Macaca mulatta: one gene and its partner. The protein of the gene in region 2 purifies or fractionates together with the protein of the main gene of each other region. This does not show direct contact. Links are inferred from orthologs where the notes say so. Each region holds a gene or a part of one and is shown on either strand. Other genes may lie near its edges. The genes, in order: DCAF7 and FAM117B.

What was found.
Region 1: the proteins of FAM117B (region 2) and DCAF7 purify together in Homo sapiens (affinity purification with mass spectrometry; 3 studies listed by BioGRID and IntAct, with this or other methods). This does not show direct contact. The link is inferred for Macaca mulatta from reciprocal best matches to the Homo sapiens genes FAM117B and DCAF7.

What each region holds. Positions count from the first base shown.
Region 1 is NC_133421.1:73,377,329-73,381,139, reverse strand, and holds part of DCAF7 (DDB1- and CUL4-associated factor 7), read right to left. Parts: intron 319-3,811; coding exon 146-318; 3' UTR 1-145. UniProt on the Homo sapiens protein: Involved in craniofacial development. Acts upstream of the EDN1 pathway and is required for formation of the upper jaw equivalent, the palatoquadrate. The activity required for EDN1 pathway function differs between the first and second arches.
Region 2 is NC_133417.1:107,833,211-107,837,483, forward strand, and holds the start of FAM117B (protein FAM117B), read left to right. Parts: upstream 1-1,272; 5' UTR 1,273-1,591; coding exon 1,592-2,183; intron 2,184-4,273.

The DNA of each region.
Region 1 (3,811 bases), on a different chromosome or scaffold from region 2:
ACTCCTAGAGCAGCTTCTGGTAACAGTGGGTGCAAAGCAATGAAAGACATACTGGCCACTGGAAACATGTTTCTTCTTACTTTGGGGGTGGGGCAGAGGCAGGAAACACAAAAGCCCCTGCCTCGTGGGCACAGCGCCACCAACACTACACTCTGAGTATCTCCAGGCAGTTGTTGTAGCAGATGGCGATCCAGTCGGGCTGAGTTGATGCCCACTGCACATTGTTGATCTCTCCTTCAGCTGTGTAGGCCAGGATAGGGTCCTCGATGGCTCGGGGCATTTGCTGGATGTCCCAGATGAGAGCCTGGTGGTCATCCGCTAGGGACAAAGAAAGCCAGCAAGCAGGGTCACAAGTGAGGCAATGGGGATGATGATCCCTGCATTTCAGGAGCAATTCACAGTTTACAAAGCACGCATCCCCGTGACGGCGGTTCTATGTTAAGCCCCCATTTTATCGATGAGGAAACTGAGATTCAGAAATGTTAAGGCGCTATTCAGCCAAGTGAGTGGCAGAGCCAGAACTCAAATCTAGGCCCTGACTCCATCTCCCAGATGTCCCCAGGCTCTATCCACTGCACGAATGAGTCCTTCTCATCTGGGTCAGGTATCAGGAGTGGACAAGGGGATACCAAACATGTCATTTGTAGCCACTTAAAATACTTGAGTGGTTATAAAGATCCTTCCTGATCATTCAATATAATGAGAGCGTTTCTTCCCTGTTTGATGGGCATTTATGCTTCAGTGAGTTGTTATATAGAAGAAGACTGACAAAGTAGTGTTGGTATGTGCTGTTAAAAAATTCTTTCCTGGCCAGGCATGGTGGCTCACACCTGTAATCCCAGCACTTTGGAAGGCCGAGGCAGGCGGATCACTTGAGATCAGGAGTTCAAGACCAGCCTGGCCAACATGGTGAAACCCTATCTTTATTAAAAAAAAAAAAAAAAAAAATTACAAATTAGCCAGATGTGGTGGTGCACACCTGTAATCCCAGCTACTCGGGTGGCTGAGGCAGGAGAATCGCTTGAACTCAGGAGGCAGAGGTTGCAGTGAGCCAAGATGGTGCCATTGCACTCCAGCCTGGGCAACAGAGTGAGACTTCATCTCAAAAAAAAAAAAAAAAAAAAAATCCAAGAAAATAGCTATGGGAAACACCAGAAAGATGGTAATCACCTTAAATATATAAAAGCACATGAAAAATGACTAGAAGGAAATATATTAAAATGAGAATGATGGCAATACTAAGATGACAAGGTTAGGAGTTACGTTTACTTTTCTCTAGTTCCTAAGTGATCCGTAATGTGCTTATATAACTTTTTTTTTTTTTTAAATGGAGTCTTGTTCTGTCACCCAGGCTTGAGCATAATGGTGCGATCTCAGCTCACTGTAACCAACGCCTCCCAGGTTCAAGCGATTCTCCTGCCTCGGCCTCCCAAAATGCTGGGATTACAGGCATGAACCACTGCACCCGGCCTATATTACTTTTATAATCAAAATAGTAAGTTAATTTTAAAAAAAGAAAAAAAAAGGCAATGGCCTTCAGAGCTGCAGTGTACCCTGACTCTGCCATACATTCTGATGAAAGCTGGTCTCACATACACAGAAAATCTGAATAAACTAAACCCTAATAGGTCAATTGTGGGCAATACCAGTCTCCTGCCAAGGCCGCATAATCTGGGCCAGGTGCAAGATCCCTCTCCCAGAGATAATCAATGCCAAGAGGTCAGGGAATTGCACCTCTAAAGCACTAAGCCCCTTTTCCTCAATGCTCAACTGAGCACACTTGAGCAACAGTTCCTTCGGTTGAAGGGGCTCAAGGCAGGTGCAACACACAAAACAGCGAGCCGGACAAAGGGAGAAGCCAGGAGCAGAAAATGGGGCTTCTATGGGGCCAGTCCTACTTTCCATGAATAATGGATGACACCTTTCTTTTCTGCTTCTTCTATCCCTCCCTATCCACACCGCTGGAAAAAAAAAAAAAAAAAAAAAAAAAAGGCAATAATGAAGAAGACAAACCACAATCTGAGGTACAGAAGGCAGCAGCAGGCCCCCAACTGCTCTTCAAGGAGATATACAGGCATGAGCAGAGGGCCAAAATCAGGAAAAGCTTCATGCTTTCCAAATAATGCTCAAATGGCAGAAAAACACCACAGTACATTGCTTCTTGGACTCCATAACGAATCTTGTCCATTATAAGGCTACTGATCAGTGAGGAGAAGAAAAAAAAACACACTAAAAAAGTTAAGCAGTAAACCACCACAGGGCTAGGACAGAATCCTCTCAGTGCAAAAGGAAGAGGTATATAGTTGTATTTGAGGGCGTGGATGTACACCCCCAAATGTATACCAAAAGGGTCTGGAAGGAGATACATTACCTGTTGACAGAGGTCATCTATGCAGAGTGGGATGGAGGCAGAAATGATATAGCAAGGAGAAAAGATGACCTTCACCTTGCTCTAAATATGCCTCTGTACTGTTTTCATTTTTAATATCAGATTCGCAGTATTTCTACAATAAAAGTGCATTGACAAACAGCATATTTTTCTTTTCTTTTTTTTCTGAGATGGAGTCTCACTCTGTCACCAGGATAGAGGGTAATGGCACGATCTCAGCTCACTGCAACCTCCACCTCCTGGGTTCAAGCGATTCTCCTGCCTCAGCCTCCCAAGTAGCCGGGACTACAGGCGCACACCACCATGCCCGGCTAATTTTTGTATTTTTAGTAGAGATGGGGCTTCACCACGTTGGTCAGGATGGTCTTGATCTCCTGACCTCATGATCCACCTGCCTCGGCCTCCCAAAGTGCTGGTATTACAGGCATGAGCCACTGCACCCGGCCTTTCTTTTCTTTTTTTAAAATTTATTTTAGAGGCAGAGTCTTCCTTGGTTGCCCAGGTTGGAGTGCAGTGGCACAATCATAGCTCACTGTAACCTCAAACTCCTGGGCTCAAGGGATCCTCTCACCTCAGCCTCTAAGTAGCTAGGACTATAGCAATTCACCACTACACCCAGATAGTTTTTTTAACTTTTTGTAGAGATGAGGTTTCACTATACTGTCCAGGCTGGTCTCGAACTCTTGGTCTCAAGGAATCCTCCCACCTTAGCCTCCCAAAGTGCTGCAATTACAGGCCTGAGACACTGTGCCTGGCCCAACATATTTTTAAGGGGTACTCTTTTTTTTCTTTTTTCTGGAGGCAGAGTCTCGCTCTGTTGCCCCAGCTGGAAGGCAGTAGCATAATCTCTGGTCACTGCAACCTCCACCTCCTGGGTTCAAGTGATTCTCCTGCCTCAGTACCAAGTAGCTTGAACTACAGCTGTGTGTCACTATGCCTAATTTTTTTTGTATTTTTAGTAGAGACAGGGTTTCACCACGTTTGTCAGGCTGGTCACGAACTCCCGACCTCAGGTGATCCACCTGCCTCAGCCTCCCAAAGTGCTCGGATTACAGGCGTGAGCCACTGCGCCTGGCCAGTAAGGGATGCTTGCTCTGGTCTGGGAAACAGTGAAATGAAAACCACAAGTCACACACCACAACCAGGCAAAATTCTGTGAGGCCCTCCGATGTGTCTAGAGCTCACTGTCGGTTTGTTAAAGTGAAACCTGAAAGGTCCCATGGAGATGTTGATCTTCGCAGTCCCAAAGATTCTGTGACATCCATGAGAGATGCCTCCCTTTCTCCATATTCCTGGAATTGAGTCCTCTGTGCCACCCAGATTTCAGGGGGACAGTACAAGGCACAGGCCTGTAACTGACACATGATGTAAATTGTATATGGAAGATGCTCTGATGTCCATGAAGGTACAAGATCGTCTAAA
Region 2 (4,273 bases):
GAGGTCAAGAGATCAAGACCACCCTGGCCAACATGGTGAAACCCCCGTCTCTACTAAAAATACAAAAATTAGCCGGGCGTGGCGGCACGCACCTGTAATCCCAGCTACTTGGGAAGCTGAGGCAGGAGATTTGCCTGAACGCGGGAGGCGGAGGTTGCAGTGAGCCGAGATCGAGTCACTGCACTCCAGCCTGGGGGACAGAGCGAGACTTCATCTCAAAAAAACAAAACAAAACAAAAGTCTTCCACCACCGCGCACAGGGATCCAGTAGGATTTCAGGTCCAGAGTGAATCATACTATGGTCTCCACTCCCACATTTTTACACGACGAAATCTGTCTAGCATGTACAACTAATAAAAATAGTACAGGGAAAAGAGGTAATGGATAGGCAATTTATAGCCAGAGAGGTGGGAGTGTAGGTTTTGGGTCCACCATTTTTTATTTTCTTGATAAGGAGCCCTTTAGGCCATTTTAGAACTAGTGTCACTGCCTGCCTTCCTGGGTCTTTGCCACACCAAAGACTTGTTTCCTCCACTAGACAAAAACATGGATGGCTGGCCCAGTTCTGTCTCAAACAATGATCGTGTAGAATCAAATAAGGCCCTCTGTAAACTATAGCATTTTACAGACTGGTAAGGTAGCAGCCATTTTTCCAAGGTATCAGGGAACAGCGAAGCAGCTGATTAAAATAGTCTTGATTACTTGAGATACAGAAGGGTAGGAATAACATGTGGTAACTGAACTCCATAGATACTATCTAAAACCGCATTCTAACAGGCAAATTTAATCTTTCTGAGATTTGCCTCTTTGTAGAGCTCTAAAAAATAAGAAAAGGAGAGGGGTGTAAAATGCCACTTAAGATTTGTTAAATTTCTTCTCCTTTTGAGCCCTGTCCATAGGTAGATGGAATTAGGGCAGAACAAAAACATTAAGAATAAAAGCCCGAAGGAGAGGCGCGTACATGTGAATACAAGTGAATACTGGGGTAAGGAAATGAGTTATGCGGAAAAGGCTTCAGACCATCCCTGGGAACTGTTCCGGGTCCGGACATTTCCTTTGGCAACCTTCCAGAGTCTGAGTCCCCAGGGCTCCCCCCTGCGGGAAGGGAAAGGCGCGCGTGGCTAGGCGCGCGCGTACACGGGCACTCACGTGTACACACACACGCGCGCACACTACACATACACACACTGCCCATTTCCTCCGCTCCCTCCCCGCGGGGGGCGGGTCTCTTTCTCTTTAAAGAGCAGACGGTCTCCGCGCACACCCAGGCTCTCAAGGCCTCGGGGGCCCGGGACCCGAGCTGCTCGTAGCCAATGGGAGCGGTAGAGCGGCTCGAGCGCGGCTGACGCTGCACCAATGGGCGATCGTGGGGGGCGGGGGCAGCGGAGGAGACACTATTGTTGATGAGGAGCGGCGGCGGCGGCGGCTGCACCACCTCGTTGCTGCCGGTCCCGGCCCGGTCGCCCCCTGCACCCCGGAGTCCAGCTTCGTCACCCCGCGCGGGGGCCTGCCCTCCGGCCTCGAGAATCCTCCCCCTGCAGCCCAACAACAAAACCCCCCGTCTCGCCCAGTCACCGGGGAGGGGGGGACCATGTCCCAGCGGGTGAGGCGCAATGGGTCCCCCACGCCAGCCGGCTCCCTTGGGGGTGGTGCGGTCGCCACGGCCGGGGGACCCGGGAGCCGCTTGCAGCCCATGAGGGCTACGGTTCCGTTCCAGCTGAAGCAGCAGCAGCAACATGGCAGCCCCACGCGGAGCGGCGGCGGCGGCGGCGGCGGCAACAACAACGGTGGCTGCTGTGGTGGCGCCTCAGGCCCCGCAGGCGGCGGCGGCGGCCCGCGCACCGCCTTGCGCAGCACCAGCCCCACGCGCGGCGGCGGGAACGCGGCCGCGCGCACCAGCCCCACGGTGGCCACGCAGACGGGCGCGTCCGCGACGTCCACGCGAGGCACCAGCCCCACGCGCGGCGCCGCGCCTGGAGCTCGCGGGAGCCCCCCACGGCCGCCGCCACCGCCGCCGTTGCTGGGCACCGTGTCGTCGCCCAGCTCGTCGCCCACCCACCTGTGGACCGGCGAGGTGAGCGCGGCCCCACCCCCAGCCCGCGTCCGGCATCGGAGGAGGTCTCCGGAGCAGAGCCGAAGCTCGCCGGAGAAGAGGAGCCCTAGCGCCCCGGTTTGCAAAGCAGGTAAGTGCTGGGGGTCGCGCAGCGAGGGGGAGGCGGCGGCGGGAAGGAGTCCCGGGCGCGCGCTGCAATCGCGCGGGGAATGCAGCGCTGCCGCGGAGCCCGGGTGGCTGGGGGCGGGGCTGGGGGCGGTGTCGGGCGGTGGGGACCGGGCAGTGCGGCCCCGCCTTTCCCGGGCCTACCCTGCGCCCCGCCCGCCCGTCTCATTCATTCCTCTGCCCGCCCCGCGCGGCTCCCTGGCGGTGGAGGTGCAGTGGCTAAACCTTGGGCTTGAGCTGATGAGTGTTAATGATAACCCTGGCGTCCTGGCCGTATTCCTGGAGGAGTCGTTACTGCTTACCCTCCTTTGAGGGTGAGGCTAGGAGTGGTTTATCACTTTGTTTTAGGCACAAGGTTAATGTTGGCATAGCCCGTATCTGCTGCTGCTAAGTATTTCTGTTCACAGAACAGTTTCAGATCTGGGGTACTGAATGCATTAGCAGTGGCAGATTTGGATCACTGAACAGACGAGGCTGAGACCCGTGTTTTAGCATTTTCCAAGACTTTGATAAATGGGTAGCAAGAAGTGAGAATTAAGCAAGATTCCTTAGGAAGGTTTATGGGTTTTGTCTGAGGTTCTGGGTGTATTTCTGATTTTGTGTACTGATTCTGTTGTTTGAATGTAGAAAAACAGAATCCAGTGTTTGTCTCCATCTTGTTATTGTTTTAGGGAGCTAACATTCGTTGTTTTTCTGTTTACCTGGAAGCTTTCTTGGGGAAAGTCGTGAATGGAGCTGTGGGTGCCATTGGAGTCATTCATAAAGAGTAACTCAAAAGAAAAATTCAAATTGTGGGAAGTGGAAAGGAATAAAATTTATCATCTTGTTGCCTTGAGAAAATAAATATGTGGTTTTTAATTATGTATTCATTTTTGTCAACATATATCTTTGTCTTTCCCTTACTGGGATAGTTCTGTTAGAATCTTCCAGGCAGAATGGTTGGGAATTTCAGGAAACAAATTCAGATGAAATAGTTTCCGAAATGGAAGGAATAGGATGACTCTTTCTTACTGTTTATGAAAAGTTTTAGATAATACTTTTTTTAGAGATAATTGCCCTGGAAAATGATTAATAGTGTTTTCTTTTTTTGAGGTAGAATCTCTGTCACCCAGGCTGGAGTACAGTTAGGCGATCTTGGCTTACTGCAACCTCTAACTCCCGGGTTCAAACGATTCTGCCTCAGCCTCCTAAGTAGCTGGGGTTACAGGCGACCGCCACCATAACCGGCTAATTTTTAGTAGAGACAGGGTTTCACCATGTTGGCCAGGCTGGTCTCGAACTCCTGACTTCAGGTGATCCGCCCGCCTCGGCTTCTCAAAATGCTGGGATTACAGGCGTGCGCCTCCGCGAGCTGCCCGAATAGTGCTTTCTAATTAGAACTAGAGCACTGTTTTATTTATTTGTATTTATATTTTTATTTATTTTTTGAGACGGAGTCTTGCTCAGCCGCCCAAACTGGAGTGCAGTTATGTGATCTCAGCTCACTGCAACCACTGTCACCCGGGTTCAAGCGATTCTTCTGTCTCAGCCTCCCGAGTACCTGGGATTACAGGCACCCGCCATCATGCCCGGCTAATTTTTGTATTTTAGTAGAGACAGGGTTTCACCATGTTGGCCAGGCTGATTTGGAACTCTTGACCTCAGGTGATCTGCCTGCCTCGGCCTCCCGAAGTGCTAGGATTGCCCGGTCCAGAGCACTATTTTAAATCTTTTGAGAATGCAGAATGCTTTTCTAAAACTGTGATAAAAGTATTAGACTTCACCTCCCCGCTTCATAACCTCTGTCACCTGATGAACTCTTACTATGTGTCAGGTAGTTTTTATGCAAAATCTCATTTCACCTTCACTATGGCTTTTAGAGAGGTTAAGTAACAAGTTGCAGAGCTGGTATTTATTTGAACTTTGGTCAGTTGTACTCCAAAGACCATGTCTTTATATTATATCAAGGAAGTGACATCATGATGTGTAAGATAGAATGTGGGAAATATATAGCAGGCCAAAATTACATGTACTTAGTTAAGTAAATTTTTTTTTTTTTTTTTGACACGACGTCTC